Linked DNA regions of Sus scrofa. The protein of the gene in region 1 purifies or fractionates together with the protein of each later gene. This does not show direct contact. Links are inferred from orthologs where the notes say so. Each region holds a gene or a part of one and is shown on either strand. Other genes may lie near its edges. The genes, in order: MTHFD2 and HRAS.

Region 1 (7,996 bases):
TGAGGCTTTTTCTTAAATTAATGGAACCTGACATAATGACACATAAGCCATATCAATTCAATTCTTTAAAATCAGAGTTCCCATCGTGGAGCAGTGGAAACGAATCCAACTAGGAACCACAAGGTGGCAGGTTCAATCCCTAGCCTCGCTCAGTGGGTTAAGGATCCAGCATTGCTGGAAACTGTGGTGTAGGTTGCAGACACGGCTGGATCCCAAGTTGCTGTGGCTGTGGCGCAGGCTGGCAGCTACAGCTCCGATTCGACCCCTAGCCTGGGAACCTCCATATACCATGGGTGCAGCCCTGAAAAGACAAAAAAAAAAAAAAAAAAAGCCAAAAAATAAAATAAAATAAAAATTTTAAAAATGCTTTAAAATGGTCTAAGATTTTTTTCTACCAAATGGCACAGACCAGGATACAAACTTGGAATAAGAACTTGTTCTTAGCTCCAACTCTCAAAGCCGTAACTGAACTTTCTAATTGCCTACAACCATGCTGATACTTCAAAACACAAATTTATTTCTCAGGCAGATCTATTTCTGAACTAGTCCATCCTAAATGAATATAAATAAACTCCAGGTGATACCGAGCCCAGCTTCTCCTACAAAGATTACTCCCCAATTATCTGTTAACAAAATTACAACAAACATGAAGCTTAACGAAGTTAACACTTCCAAATAGCCACAGGGCAGCCTCTGGAGGTTCTCCCATAAGAGAGAAGGGGACACTCATGTGACAGCAATTTCCTTACCTCCGGGTCGCTCATGCGCCCCATCTGTGTGCAATAACATTGCAATGGGCATGCCAACGTTTTTTGATCTTCCAGCCACAACCACATTCTTCCCTAGGGTTGGAATGCCTGCAAAAAATATACAATTTGCATTTAGGATTGTGCCAGATTATCTTAGAAAGAGCACCTGAGGAAAAGGAAGGCTGATGGCCTAGGATGTGACTCTAATTGTGATAATGAAGGAAGTCACTACGCTTATTGCCTTAGCAGTCACCCGGACTATCACTTGCTACACATGATGGAGGCTCAAAGGACATGTTCTGTCAAGCTAGAAAATGCTACATGAATGTGCTATTAAGCTTAAGGTTCCCTCAGAGGTTTCTGGATTAAACAGGAGAAACAGTTGTAGGCATTGCTAAGAGAGAGCTAGGCTCTAGGGAGAAGGATGAGAAGACATAGGGTGGGAGTTTCCACTCTTTGCTACTCTGTGGGTTTTTACCATTTGTAAGTAGTGCTTTTGTGGTACTGAGACAGACATCCAGTTATGGGATATACCTACCAGTTCGCTTAATTATTTCCCACACACCCCATGGAGTAGCCGGTAACATGGAATTCTGGTCCAAGCACATTCGCCCGACGTTAATTACATGAAAGCCATCGACATCCTTGTCTGGAGAAACAGCATTGCAGATCCTTCTCTCATCAATGTGCTCTGAAAAAGAAATCCAAGTGGTGGTTTTAAGTCACTGCCACACAGTTAGCACTGCTTGACTCCGGCTTATCTGGTTTGCTGCAAAAACCCATTCTCCTTCTCCAACGTGCCCCCGTGACGTCTCTCTTCATCTGTGCACAAGGAACACACACCTAGCAAAGTCAAATGCTGAGATCAAAGCCAGGGTCCTCTTGTACCACAGCTTCCCTTCCCTGTCCTTTGCATCAAGATCTCAATACCAGAGTTCCCTTGCGGTGCAGCGGGTTAAGCATCTGGCGTTGTCCCTGTAGCAGCTTGGGTCGATGCCGTGGCACAAGTTTGATCCCTGGTCCAGGAACTTCCACATACTGTGGGTGCAGCCAAAACAATAAATTAATGAATTAAAAATTAAAAAAAAAAATCTGCCCCATATCTGATGACATATCTACTCTTGAGTTTAACTCCCCTTTGAGTCAAATCCACCCGAGGGGCCAGTTGTATAAAGGAAACAGGCCTCTGCACTCCTCAGAGATCATTTTAAATGGTGGTGTCCAAAACTCACCTGGAAGAGGCAGCTGAACAAGGAGGCCGTCTACATTATCATCATTGTTTAGTTTACTGATTAAACTCAACAGTTCTTCCTCTGAAATTGAAGCTGGTTTCATAATTGTCTCACTGCTGATTCCTACAAGAAAATTTCAAAGTTTAAAAAAGAAACCCATGTAGGAGTTCCCATTGTGGCTCAATGGTTAACGAATCCGACTAGGAACCATGAGGTTGCGGGTTTGATCCCTGGCCTTGCTCAGTGGGTTAAGGATCCGGCGTTGCCGCGAGCTGTGGTGTAGGTTGCAGATGAAGCTTGGATCCTGCGTTGCTGTGGCTATGGTGTAGGCCGGCGGCTACAGCTCTGATGAGACAGACGCCTAGCCTGGGAACCTCCATATGCTGCAGAAGCGGCCCTAGAAAAGCCAAAAAGACAAAAAAAAAAGAAAGCCATGTAAACCAGCTTTGATAGAAAAAATAAAAATCATTTAAAAAATTAAAAAAAAAAAAAAGCCCAGAGGCAGGAATTCCCATTGTGGCTCAGTGGGTTAAGAACCCAACTAGGATACAGGTTCTATCACTGGCCTTGCTCAGTGGGTTAAGTATCCAGCATTGCTACAAGCTGTGGTGTAGGTCACAGATACAGCCTGGATCCTGAGTTGCTATAGCTATGGTGTAGGCCAGCAGCTGCAGCTCCAATTTGACCCCTAGTATGGAAACTTCCATATGCCCCAGGTGCAGCCCTAAAAAGAAAAAAAGGAAAAAAAAAAAAAAAAAAAAAGAGACATTTATTGAGGCAATGCTATGCTGCCTGCCACACTACCGGCTAGGTTTTTTTTTGTCATCATACCCACCCTGGTAGCTAAAAAGCTTGAGCAGGCTCACAAAGAATCTTAACTAACTTCTCTAATACAGACATTAAAGAATCCTAGTTTGATACTTTTTATACATTATTCTAGATGATCCTCATCAACCTCCTTTTCTAGACAAGGCTCAGCAAAACTGAACCACAAGCTGGCTAGTGACAAAGCCAATCTTTCCAGTTCCAAAATCCATGTTGTTCCCACTGTGCCATGCTACCTCCCATCCAGTGTCTTAATGGTTTACTATTTTCTAGAGGTTCTAAAGGTTTTTCAGTGAAAAGGGCAGGAGGCCTCAACCCTCAATGATAAAGAACAGAATACACCAAGGGCTCACAGTCCACTAATACTACCCAGATATGCCAGTGGTTTCACACCCCTTAGAAGAGCAGGGCACAGTGCTAAGACCAGTGACTCACATATAAGTGGCAGGCATCAGTTGAGCCTACCCTCCTCTGGTCTACGGTCATCCAGTCTGCAATATAGTAAAGCCAAGAACACAGACCTCCTGTCACTCAGACCTGCACCCTCTGCATCCAAACCTCCAACTACTTCGAAATGCATGACTGAATTGCTTTGGAATGAACTGGTGGGGAAATTGAAGGCTATTTCAAAGAAGTCAGAGTCATTTCCTTCAAATCCATGACTGTGTTCTAGGCCACATCACCAAGGTCTCCTCCACCAAGTGCTCAAACACCTCTTTCAGGGATTCATTACTGCTCAAGGAAAGCAGATGTACACTTGTATTCAAGGTCACCTATCGAAGGTTAAGACTAGGGCAGAATTTAGCTTACATCCCAGAAGACACCAAAAATACCAACCATATTCCTTCTGTCCTAGTCTCTAAGCCTCCCCCAAATACAGCCTGAATCTTTATGACAAATATTAGACACAGCTCAATCACATTAACTTCTTCTGCTTGGGTTTTCAAATCAGAAAAAGAATAATATAAAATAGATAACTAACAAGGACCTATTGTATTGCACAGGGAACTCTACTCAATAATCTGGGAGTTCCCATTGCGGCTCAGTGGGTAAGAACCTGAGACGGTATCCATGAGGATGCAGGTTCAATCCCTGGCCTTGCTCAGTGAGTTAAGGATCCAGTGTTGCCACAAGCTGTGGCATAGATTACATATGCAACTTGGATCCTGTGGTGCTATGGCTCTGGCATAGGCCAGCAGCTGTGGCTCCAATTTGACCCCTAGCCTGGGAACCTCCATATGCTGCAAGTGTGGCCCTAAAAAAAATGAAAAATACAAAAATTTTTAAAATAAAAATTCTGTAATAATCTGTATGGGAAAATAACCTGAAAAAGAATAGAGAGACATTTTTCACTTTGCTGTGTACCTGAAACTAACACATTGTAAAGCAAGTATATGCCAATAAAATTTTTTTAAATTTAAATAATAAAAAAATAGAAAAAGGAATAATGAACTACAATAGGGTTTGCCTTGGATAAATCTCGATTTAAAAGCTGGCGGGGTCTGAGAGTGACACATACCCACATCGGCAGCTGTTCTGGTTTTGTTGAGGACATAAGAGTGACTTGCAGGGTTCTCACCAACCAGGACCACACTCAGGTGTGGTCGCTTGTTGCCTGATGCCACCCACTCCTCCACCTCCTGCCGCACTTCCTGCTTGATCTGCTCAGCAAGCTTCTTTCCAGAAATGACAACAGCTTCACTTCTGCAGAATGCAACAGAGACACAAGAATTTTGGGAAAGATCAGACTACAAAAATGTTGTTGCTGGTTTTTTTGTTTGTTTTTTGTTTGTTTTTTTGTTTTTGTTTTGTCTTTTCTAGGGCCACACCCACAGCATATGGAGGTTCCCAGACTAGGGGTCGAATTGGAGCTATATCCATTGGCCAACGTCACAGCCACAGTAAGGCAAATCCAAGCCATGTCTGCAACCTACACCACAGCTCACAGCAATGCCGGATCCTTAACCCACTGAGCAAGGCCAGGGATTGAACCCACCATTTCATGGTTCCTGGTCGGATTCGTTAACTACTGAGCCACGACAGGAACCCCCCAAAAATGTGTTATTAAACACATTTCCAACACAGTTCCAGTTGTAGCTCAACTGAAATGAATCTGACTAGCATCCATGAGGATGCAGGTTCAATCCCTGGGCTTGCTCAGTGGGTTAAGTATCCACAGTTGCTATGGCTGTGACGTAGGCTGGAAGCCGCAGCTCTGATTGGACCCCTAGCCTGGGAACTTCCACATGCCTCAGGTTTGGCCCTAAAAAGGCCCCACTGAAAACAACATTCATAAGGAATGTTCCAACTCCAAGACCAATGATGAATACAGCTGTTTCAAACGTAGAAACAATATATTTCCCCTTAGAGCACATATTTAATCCTCAGGGATAATATCAAGGATATCTTACATGATCAGATATAATTAATTCTTAAGGCCACTGTTAATTAAAATGGAATTTTAAAGCTTTAATTGTCATTAAGCCTTCAAAGACTGCTTTTCATTTGCATTGTGATTAAAAATCTACTTTAAACCAAATCTCAATGTTTTAGACATAATGCAGCAAATTTATATTAATTTGTATTTGCATCTTTTGACATATTAAGAAGATACTGCAGTTTTATACCAAACCAAATGCTTTTCCCCAGATTCTCTGTGATAATACTAGCACAGCACAAAATATCTAAGAGCATTTCATACATATTCGTGGAATATTAAGGAATTGAAAACATGTTAATATTTACAAATCCATTTCAGATGTATGGTTGACACAATATTATTTTGGGTTTGTTTTTTGTTTGTTTGTTTTTCTTTTTAGGGCCCAATCTGAGACATATGGAAGTTCCTGGGCTGGGAGTCGAATTGGAGCTGCAGCTGCCAGCCTACGTCACAACCCCGACAACTCGGGGACCCGAGCTGCATCTGTGACCTACGCTGCAGCTTGCGGCAATGCCAGATCCTTAACCCATGGAGTGAGGCCAGGGATTAAACCCACATCTTCATGGATATTAGCTGGATTCTTTAACCTGCCGAGTCACAACAGGAACTCTCCTGGTGTGTTCTTGATCTATAGTGATACCAGGAGTACCTGTCTCGGGCCAGAAATAGAGTCCCAACATTGGAACAGAATAGAGTGAAAGAATAAAAGGATTTTGGGCAGTCATTTATATTGAATGAAATAACATAAAGTGCCAGGCACACATATATTCACTAAAAATTAACTTCTGGCTTGCTTCTTTGATTACATTTACAAACACACACACACTTACTATACAAGAGACATTTATTTACACACTCATAAGGATATCTATATAAAAACACTCGGTGAGAAGAACTGAGACTGCACTTCCTTAAAAAGTTCCTTCTGAAAGCAGTAAACTTAGAGAAAATGGCAACAGTACATTTGGACTAAGCATGATATAAAAGTTAAGAACGCTGGGTGAATCCAGTGTTCCAAGTTCTAAAGGCAAGTTCTGGATGTTATGCCAATTTGCTTAAAAAGAAAAAAGTCAAAGAATAACAAGAACCAAAACAAAGCCACAATGCAATGAGTATCTTTCATAGTGTAACTGTTTCAGCCATCCTCTCCAAACTACAACTCTGCATAATGCAAAACACAGTCCTGAGGGAGGAGGGAGGAGGGACTCGTCAGTAAATTTCCCAACATTCTTTTTATTCTTTTTCTTTTTCTTTTTTTTGCCAAAGAGCAGATAAAGTTACTGCTACCCCAAAATAAATGGAAATGGAGACTGAGATCAGTCCTACAAGGAATCCGAAATTTATTAATCATATTAGCTAACACTTATTTAGGAGTGCTTTCACAGATGTGGGTTTTTTGGGATTTGTTTTTTGTTTGCTTTTTAGGGCCATACTTTCAGCAGGCGTACGGAAGTTCCCAGGCTAGGGGTCGAACCAGAGCTACAGTTAACGGCCTATATCACAGCTGCAGCCATGCTGGATCTGAGCCGCATCTGTGACCTACACAGCAGCTGTAGGCAACTCTGATCCTTTAACACAGTGAGTGAGGCCAGGGATCAAACCTGCGTACTCGTGCATCCCATGGATACTAGCCGGGTTCATTTCTGCTGAGCCACAAGGGGAACTCCCTCACAGACATGCTTAGAAATTTTTCTGTTAAAATTATGAATCAATCAACTAGAAAGAAGAGGACTGTCCAAATAAAAGTCAAAACTGGAAAACCCACGTCAGTAATATCCACACTTTCTTCCTAATTCAAAAGTTTACAGTACTATAATTTTCCATGAAAAATTAATATCAGGTACATTTTACAATTCACGATCAAGTTATTTTGGAAATAGTTCTGTTACTAATTAATGGAACCAGTAATGAGTGAACAAAGGCACAAAGAGGGATGGAACGAACATCCATTAAACACTAGGTATTTTGCTAAGAGTTTTACATACATTACTCTTGGTTACCTCAGAGCTATTACAATAAGCCTGTTATACAGAAAGGAGAACCTGAGGACAATAAAAACAAAATTCAAACATGAATTTCTGCCTCCAAAATCCATTTTTTTCCTATACCCCACTGTCTCCTAGACTGCAGTACTATCTCTCTAACCATAAAAACTCTCACACTAAGGTCCCTAAAAAGGGAAAACATGCAGGCCCATATTTTGTAAAAGATGCTGTTTTAAATTTACCAGGCAGCAGTAATCAAAGCAATACATTGGCACCCTGAATCCAAATGTACTTATTGCCTTCAAAGCTGAGGAAGCCTACCTGTTTATTCTGAAAAGGAAGTGAAACAACATCATTTGTTGCTGGAGAGTGTGAGCAAACTGGTCCAGTTCTCTAAGTAATAAACTGGAGGATTTTTTTCTTTTTCTTTTTAGGGCCCCACCCGAGGCATATGGAGGTTCCCAGGCTAGGGGTCAAATGGGAGCTACAGCTGCCGGCATACACAATAGCCACAGCCACACAGGATCCCAGCCACGTCTAAGACCTACACACCAGACCCTTAACCCACCAAGCGAGGCCAGGGATCAAACCCTCAACCTCATGGTTCCTAGTCGGATTCGTTTCTGCTGTGCCACAGTGGGAACTCCTGAACTGGAGGATTTTTTTCATCCGTGATTGTGAAGAGATTTATAAAAAAATCCTCCAGTTCAGGAGTTCCCGCTGTCCTGCAGCAGAAACGAATCTGACTAGGAACCATGAGGTTGA
Region 2 (8,561 bases), on another chromosome or scaffold:
TCCTAGTTGAGGGCTTTGCCCCAAGACAGCATGGGCTCTGTGTGGGGAGGACGCTCGCCTGCTAGGGCCAGTGTCCAGAACAGGGGCTCTAAACACTCCCCTAAAAATCAGCGAATTTGGCAGATGCAGCTTTTGGCCTCTGCTCTCATCTGTATCAGGCTCCTGGGGGTACACTCAAGCTTCTTCCTCTCCACCACATCCAGAGCCACCCGCACCCCGGCTGGGCTTTGATGAGGAGGCGGGAGTGAGGACTGGGCCTTGTGCTCCATGTCCCTTGTTTGGAAAGTGACCCTGCACCAAGGATCCAAGAAGGTTAAGGGCTTGCAGGGCCTCATGGAGTTTCTGGCCAGGATTTCTTTCCAAATGCTCCTCTGCTGTCGGCTCTCCTTCAGCTGGTGACAGGCCCCCAAACCTGGAAGGAGGGCCCCACCACGGGCCCCTGGGAAGAGGCTGCCCAGCTCCCCCGCCCCCCAGCTGCCAGCCCTGGGCTAAGGGGAAGGTGTGGGGGGTGACCGGGCTGTGGCCTCGGATGCCAGGGCACTACCCTCTTTCTCTGCGCCCAACAGCAGCTGCCCTGAGGTCCTGTTCACAGATCCAGAGAATGGGTCCTATCTAGCCCAGGGGCTTGGGCTCCTGGGAGCAGCGCCTGGGTGAGAGGCTGCGGCTTCCATCTAGACACTGTCCCCTCACACCCATCACTGGCTGGACCTGTCTGCCCTGGTCACAGCCCTGAGCCCATCCTGCCCTGCCGCTCCACGAGCTCCTGGAGCTGGACACCAGGGCGCCCTTCTCCCTCCACCACCTGGGCTAATGCCAACTCCTGGCCTGGCCTGTGGGCTCTTTGTGTCCCTCCACCCGCCATCCCTCTGAGGACAGGGCTGGCTCCCCTCCTAGTTCTCCACTCTGGAAACCCGCGGGCTCTGGGTCCCCGCGCAGGGCTTGGGGTCTCTCCTGTCCCGGTGACTGTGCACCCCTCAGAGCACTGGTCAGGGGATGTGGGCTGGGTCCCCAGGGGGCCAGACTTGACATCTGGGGTATTCCTGGGACCCCGCTGGATTTGCTGCTTCATCCTCGGCCGCAGTTTCTCCCTGGCACGGGGGAGATAGCTGGGCCTGCGGCCCGGGACCCAAAGGCGCCCTGGGCTCTCACCTGATGGGTCGGCCCGGTGCCCCCACCCCGGGGGCCTGGCCCTGGGCACCCTCCTCCGCCGGGCGCTCGCCTTGACTCGGGGTTGTTCTTCCGGCCTCGGGGTTGAGGGGCCCGGGCGCCAAGGCAACGGGGGCGGGGCCTCTGCTGAAAGTGCACATATTCATGAGTCTCGGGAACCTTCCAGGCTCCGCGCGGTCGAGCCACGCCCCCTTAGCAACGGTTGCTAGGGCCGGCGGCCAGGCCTGGCGGCCGCCCACCCGCTCGGGGGTTCGCGCTGTTCCGCCCGCAAGCGTGTGAACGCCCCTCGAGCCGGGAGGGAGGGTGGCGAGGTGAGACGCCACGGAGCTGGCGGGCGCAGACAGGCCCGGTGTCGACCCCCGCAAGGTGATCTGGGGTGAAGACTCGCGCCCACCTTTCTCTAGCGAGAGGCGCCCCTGTAGGGTCGTCCCTGACTGAGGCCCAGGCCCTGCGGGATTTACCTCCACCTGCCAGTGCGGCCGACGCCACGACAAAAGGGCGCGCTGTGGGACAGGACCCTCTGAAGACGAGGGAAATGCAGACCTGGACACCTAGAGGGGAGTCCAGAGTGTCCGCGCCGGCGAGGGACGCCGCCGCCCGTTTTCATTTGTCCGCCTTTACTTCGCGTCTACGTGCGTCAGGCACCAGCCGAGCTCTGTCGCCGGCGCGGCGCAGCGCGCTAGACTGCCGGGGTGGGGGGGACACAGCCGGGGTGGGGTGGGCGCGGTCGTGGGGCCAGGGGCGGACCCCCGGGGGCCTGCCATGGTCGAGGCCTCAGCGGGGTGAGCTCCTGGGGAGCAGCGCGGAGCCGGCGCGGGAGGAGTAGGGATGGAAGGGGGTGCCGGCTGAGCCGAGGGAGGTTTGGCCATACGTGTAATGCACCGTTTTTTCTGGTAAACAAGCAGGATGCGTTTATTCGTTACTTTGAAAATTTCTAAAATGCTGAAAACATGTGTTTCTGAGAGCCTCTAAAGGAGGGCCGGTGGGCATGTTTGCGCCTCGGATGAAGGAGACTTCACCTCACCCCCTTCTGGGTTGGATTTGCTGGGTACCTTTTGCTAACTGGGCCTCAGGGTGAGCTTCTGCAGCGCTGGGACCTCCGGGTTTGGGGGAAGCTGCTTGGACAGGGAGTCTGCAAGGTCTGCCCAAATTGGGGGAAGCTGGTGATGAGGGATGGGGAAGAGGGGCCCTTCTCCGAGCGCCAGTCGCTACGTGAGTAGCCCCCCCCAACCCCCGGTAAAAACACTTGGCCAGATTCAATGCTCCGTGGGCTCAGACGCCCCCGTCAGGCCCTAGACGTAAGATTTGAGCTGAGACCAACGACCCCGCCGAAGCTGCCAGGCGTCCCGGGAGCGGTAGGAGCGCCTCCAGGAGCCACCTGCCCCTGCCCCTCCTCCCCGCAGCCGCTCCGATTTTCTACGGCCCCGGCTCCCCGCGTGTCTTCGGTGCTGACCTCGCGGGCTCCATCTTCCCTGAGGCTCGGCCCCCGGGCTGTCCCCTCCGCTCCCCGACCCCCTGCGGTGGGCTGCGCAGCGCAGGGAGAGCCTGGGGCGCGTGGGCGCACCCGTGAGCAACTTCGAGGGCCGAGGGGCCCGGTGCGGGGCTCGAGTTGGGCCCTGAGGACCCTGCCCCAGTCCGCAACGGGCCTCGACCCGCTTCTCCGCGGGATCTCTGTCTCCCTGAGGGCCCTGCTTATTCCTGGGAGAGTCCAGGCCGTCCACGGAGCAGCTTCCTCCCCCGGACCCCACAGCCGGCCCACCAAGACCCACAGGCCGCGGCCCACGCGGGCCACCAGGGCCGACACCGCCCTCCGCGCCGCTCCCGGAAGCCCCGCCCGGCCCGAGGCATCTGACAGGCGGGCCTCCCGGCCAATCGGGGCGGGGCGAAGAGGCTCTAGGGCGGGGCCCGGCAGGCGCAGCCAATGGCGGGCCGCGCCTGGTTGACGGACGGGGGCGAGGCGGGGCGTGCGCGGGCCCGGTCGAGAGTCCGCAGCCAGCTGCCGGAGCCGCACCCGCCGCGGACGGAGCCCATGCACTGGGCGAGCCGCGCGCCCTGGCCCCGGCCCCCGCCGCCGCCCCCGCCCCGGCCCCGGCCCCGGCCCCGGGGGCAGTCGCGCCAGTGAGCGGTGAGTGCGGCGGGGACCACGGGGGGCGGCGGGGGCCGGGCCGGACGGGGGCCCGCGGTTCTCGCTGGGCGCGCGGGCGCGCGGGGGCGCAGGTGAGCCGCGGGCGGCGGCGGGCGGGGCGCTGCGGCTGGGGCTGCAGGCGGCGGCTGGTACGCCCTGCCTCGCCCAGGCCAGCCCCTCCGACTCCAGGTCCCGGGCCCTGTCTTCTGGGGCCCCGCAAGCGCTCTCAGTCTGTTCTCTGACTGCTCCCCGAGCCGAGGCCCGCCCATGACCATGGCCCTGGGCAAAGTCTCTCCCCCTGCAGCGTTCCAAGGATCCCTGCGAAGAACTCGGGCACCCGGCGGCCATCACACACACCAGGCAAACCTAGAGTTTAGGAAGTCACTGCCCTCTGTCCCCGCAGGGTACCTACCCTGTCTAAACATCTCCAGCTGGGGCTGGGGGGCCTTGGCCCCAGGCCCTTTTTTTCCCTTCTCGCTTGTTCCCTTGTGCCACACAAGGTCTTTTCCTGTTGATCAGCTCCTGCTTCCTGGAGCCCTGGCCCCTGCCGGCCTCTTCACCTGCCTTGGTTTATGTTCCCCAAAGTTCTTATGCCGAGAGGGCGCCGCAGGTTTCCCTTTATTTTCACTTATGTGAGTCTGGCTTGGAGCGTGGCCTGAGCTTGTCGGTAGGGGTTCCTCCCGACTGCCTGTCACCCTGTGCCTGGAACAGCACCTGGCATGCAGTAGGCACTCAGTGAATACTTGTCAAATGCACCAGCATGCCCGGAGGGGCCTGGAGCTGGTTGTTGGCTGCCACAGGCCTGTCTGGGCATGCTGCCTGGCCCGCCACTGTGGCAAGACCTGTTCTCATGGGGGGCGCTTGTAACCTCAGCCCGCGGTGCCTCCAGTTCAGGCTTTTTGCCTATCCAGCACCTTCTAATTCGGGTGCGTGCCTGGGAGATGCTCCCTCCTGTCAGCCCTGCCTCTGGGGCCGGCTCCCTGCTTCTCTCCCGCAGTCATTAAGTGCAGCTGGAGGTGCCACAGGTGCGCCGCGGGGCCGCGGTTGTGGCTGCGACCCCTGTTACCTGGATGTACGGGCCCTGGGAGCTCAGCGGGCCTGTCTTGCATGGTCTGGCCACGCTGAATGCTGCTTCCTCCACTGCAGTCCTGTGCTGTGGCCTCCTGAGGAGCGATGACGGAGTATAAGCTGGTGGTGGTGGGCGCTGGAGGTGTGGGGAAGAGTGCCCTGACCATCCAGCTTATCCAGAACCACTTTGTGGATGAGTACGACCCCACCATAGAGGTGAGCCTCCAGCCCGCATCCCGATGTGGGCTTGTCTTCTGCCCGCTCTGCAGGACGGGTTCCCCTCGTCACAGGTCCTGGGCGGGCACGAGAGGAGCGCGGGAGGGGCTGGTGGTGTGAACAGCCCATCCCGGGCGGGCCAGAGGTCCCTAAGTGGTGTCCCCCCCTCAGGACTCCTACCGGAAGCAAGTGGTCATTGACGGGGAGACGTGCCTGCTGGACATCCTGGACACCGCGGGCCAGGAGGAGTACAGTGCCATGCGGGACCAGTACATGCGCACCGGGGAGGGCTTCCTCTGCGTGTTCGCCATCAACAACACCAAATCTTTCGAGGATATCCACCAGTACAGGTGAGCTGCCCGCGGGCCTCGCTTGGGGGCCCAGAGCACGCCGGCACCCTGCCCGCTGGCTCACACCTCCCCTTGCAGGGAGCAGATCAAGCGGGTGAAGGACTCGGACGACGTGCCCATGGTGCTGGTGGGGAACAAGTGTGACCTGGCCGCGCGCACCGTGGAGTCTCGGCAGGCCCAGGACCTCGCTCGCAGCTATGGCATCCCTTACATCGAGACCTCAGCCAAGACCCGACAGGTGAGCCGGAGCCCCGCCCCCAGCCGGCCAGGGCCCCGCCCCGCCCCGCCCGCAGCAGCGCTCACCGCCCCTCTCCCTCGACACAGGGCAGCCGCTCTGGCTCTGGCTCCGGCTCCGGGACCCTCTGGGACCCTCCGGGACCCCCGTGACCCAGCAGCCCCTCCTGCTGTAAGTGTCCCCGGATGGAAGGGGGGAGGTGGAGGTCCCCGGAGAGAGCTGCCCTGAGCCAGGCCGGAGCGGTGACCCTGGGGGCCCCCCCCGGGGGGGGCAGTCCCCTGTCGGCCCTGACCCCTTCGTGGGCTGTGGGGGAGCTGCTGAGGAAGAGGCCTCCTGACCGGTGGCCCTGGGGCCCCTGCTCCCCGAGTGTGGGCCAGGGGCGGGGCGGCGCCGCGGCGGGGCGGCCCTGAGCCCGCGCTCTCGTCCCAGGGGGTGGAGGACGCCTTCTACACGCTGGTGCGCGAGATCCGGCAGCACAAGGTGCGCAAGCTGAGCCCGCCCGACGAGGGCGGCCCCGGCTGCCTGAGCTGCAAGTGCCTGCTCTCCTGACACCGCCGCTGCCCCGTCTGCGGACCTTCTGCGGGGCCTCCATGCAGCTGGGCGCTGGGGCGCAGAGGTGGCGGATGCGGGGAGGAGGCGCACGCGGAGGAAGGAGGAAGGAGGAAGGAAGGAAGTGCCGCCGGCGCCCGGCCAGCCCCGGTCGGCGGCCACAGTGGCCGCAGGCCTCCCAGGACGCTTTGCACGGACTGTCGTGGACTGACGCCACTGGCACCCCAGCTGTCACTCTCCTCCAGCCCCCTCCCCGGCCCGCTGGGCACAGGCTGAATCGCAGTAAATTATTTGATGGTCTTGACCCTGGTATTTGGCTGAGGCTGGGAGGCTGTGGTGTGTGTGGCCTCCCGGGAGGCTGGCGGGAGCCTCAGCTTCAGCCAGCCAGCGGCTTCCTGCCTCGGGGTACCCAGTGCGTCCTGCAGGGACCTCTGGGCGCAAGACAGGGCAGCCTAGCGCTTAACACGTGGAAATGTTATTGCTTTGCCCCGCAGGGCAGGAAGTTGAGACAGAGGCTGTTCCCTCCCTGGGAGGGGGGCCTTCTTTGGGAGTGGTCCCAGGACGGGGCGGGGTCCTTCCGACTCCGGGTAGGATCCTGTGTCCTGAGTTTTAGGTACCTCGAAAGGCAGTCACTGACTTGGGCAGACCTTGCCTTCTTGCCATCAGGTTTGCCGAGGGAGAAGCGCACAGGGCCAAGTGGATAACGCAAGAAAGATTTATTAAGACATCAGGCGGGGCTGCGCTGGGCTCAGGATGGCGCCAGCCCTGACTGAGAGGAGATGCCGCGAGGTGATGCCGGGCTTTTGAAGGGTCTGTGGCGGGACAGCAAAGGAGGAGGAGGGGACGGTCGGGGAGGGGGAAGAGGGCAGTTCATCCTTGGTGGTGGCCAATCTGTGCAGGCAGGGGTCTTCCGCAGGCTGTTGTTTCTTGCTGCCCAACTTGAGCTTCCGCGCTCCGGGAGAGGGTGTCTACAGCAGGGCTCCAAGGTCAACAGCCACATCTTGGGGCCAGGCGTCTATCTCCATCCTTCTAGGAACCTATCACTTAGGTGTAGGACGGGGGGCCGGCCCGCCTTCCCCAGCCACGCCCTCAGTAAGAGTGGCCTGGTGTTCTGGTCACTGAAGTGGCCCTGTGGGGCATGTCCATGTCCCAGGTGGCCACAGAGAGCTCTGAGAGGGCTCGTCTTGTCTCCAGTGGGAATTCTGGACCGCTTAGGGCCACAGCAGTCTTCATCCTGGCAGGGGGCAGCTCGCCGTGCCCCTGCCCTCCCAGGGCCTGGCCCGCAGCTGCTGTGAGGCGGACGTTGTCCCACAGGCAGGCCAGCGTGAAGAGGCAGGTGTGTTGCTGGCCTCCCAGGGCCTTGGGGCCACTGTGCTCCCAATAACCCCCTCCTCTGGGAGCCCCTGAGCGTACAGTTTCTCTGTGGATGCAGAGGTGGCGGGGTGGGCACCTGCAGGGCCTTGGGGCGGCGCTCGGGGCATTGTCCTAGCTCTGTCTTGGCCCTGCTGGTCATTGCCCTGGGGGGGGCAGGAAGGGTGTCCTGAGCTCTGTGGCTCTGTGTTTGGTGGGCTGGGCAGGACCTGTGGCTGGTCCTCGGTGGGGCTGCAGGCCCAGGCCTGTGGTGTGGCCCTGAGGGTGGCCTTGGTCCATGCTCAAGGGCAAAGGTCTCAGCACTCAGGCTCAAAGCCGATGTCTTGGGGCCACTGGAGCGGGCACTTGTAGTTCCCTGGGGGTGCATCGCCATGGCCACAGCCAATCCTGAGGACTGCTCTTGGCTGGGGACAGGCAGGCCAGATGCAGAGGCTCTGGGGTCCCCCGAGGGAGGCCTGAGGCCTTGGTACTCTCTTGCTGCTGCTCCTCAGCCAGTGGGCAGGCCTGGCCTGCTGGTGCTGGGCAGGTGGGCCAGAGAGCCCATCCTTCCCAAAGAGCATCTCTGCTGAGAGAGGTGGGGCGAGGCGGGAGCTCTGGACGGTCGCTCCAGGCCCGGGGCCCACTGGAAGTGAGCACGCTGGGGTCGGCGTCTCCCCCAGGCTGTGTGGTCTGTGCAGGGTGGGGCCCCACCCTGAGAACATCCCTTGGGCCGAGGAAGGTCAGGTTCAGCGTCTGCAGTGGCTGCCCCGGGGCCCAGCCAGTGGCTGAGTCTTAGAGAAGATGAGCAGGTGGCTGGGGTGAGCAGGAAGGCCCTGGGGTGCTCCACGGTTCACTGTCCTGCAGGGCAGGGGGAGACCCCTGCTGAGCCCCTGGGGGCGGGGGCGCCGGTTGGAATTTCTCCTGTGCAGCTTGCAGCTCGGCCATCGAGGGCTGCCGCTGCTCGAGCAGCACCGCATTGTCCTCCAGGCCCCGGCCTGGGATGGGGTGTCCTGCAGAAACTCAGGAGGCCTTCCAGGGGCAGCTTCAGGAGGCGCGTGGCTGGGATGCCATAGGGCCAGCAGGGGGCCCCGCTGGGAAGGCTCAGCCCCCTTCCTGGGGGCAGCGGCCGTGCTCTGCCGGACCCAGGAGAGCCACCGCAGGGGCCGGCCCCATTCCCGCCGCCTCTCCCAGGGGCCCTGCCCAGCCGGCGTGCCGGCCAGCCCTCCTCGGCGGCCTGCGTGCCCCGGGCTTGGGTTTACGCACTCCTGTGCACCCTGAGGACAGTGTATCCCACGGCTGGGAGCACTCATGCGCCCTCCAGGCTGAAGGCATCCCAGAGCCTCAGGGAGATGGAAAAGGGTGCCCCATGGGGACATCAGGACCGGTGTGGGGGGTTGTCTCAGCGCAGGGTAGGAGCCCTCCACTGCCTCTGGGTCTTGCAGTCCTGCTGGCTACCTCCAAAAAGGTTCTACAGCTCCTAACCAGGCAGGCAGAGGAGGGC

Evidence for each region.
Region 2: the proteins of MTHFD2 (region 1) and HRAS purify together in Homo sapiens (co-immunoprecipitation; 4 studies listed by BioGRID and IntAct, with this or other methods). This does not show direct contact. The link is inferred for Sus scrofa from reciprocal best matches to the Homo sapiens genes MTHFD2 and HRAS.

The regions. Positions count from the first base shown.
Region 1 is NC_010445.4:68,824,174-68,832,169, forward strand, and holds part of MTHFD2 (bifunctional methylenetetrahydrofolate dehydrogenase/cyclohydrolase, mitochondrial), read right to left. Parts: intron 4,511-7,996; coding exon 4,326-4,510; intron 2,105-4,325; coding exon 1,982-2,104; intron 1,441-1,981; coding exon 1,288-1,440; intron 858-1,287; coding exon 750-857; intron 1-749. UniProt on the Homo sapiens protein: Although its dehydrogenase activity is NAD-specific, it can also utilize NADP at a reduced efficiency.
Region 2 is NC_010444.4:297,115-305,675, reverse strand, and holds HRAS (GTPase HRas), read left to right. Parts: upstream 1-3,136; 5' UTR 3,137-3,292; intron 3,293-4,438; 5' UTR 4,439-4,465; coding exon 4,466-4,576; intron 4,577-4,747; coding exon 4,748-4,926; intron 4,927-5,004; coding exon 5,005-5,164; intron 5,165-5,250; coding exon of another isoform or gene 5,251-5,313; exon of another isoform or gene 5,314-5,332; intron 5,333-5,590; coding exon 5,591-5,710; 3' UTR 5,711-6,014; downstream 6,015-8,561. UniProt on the Homo sapiens protein: Involved in the activation of Ras protein signal transduction. Ras proteins bind GDP/GTP and possess intrinsic GTPase activity.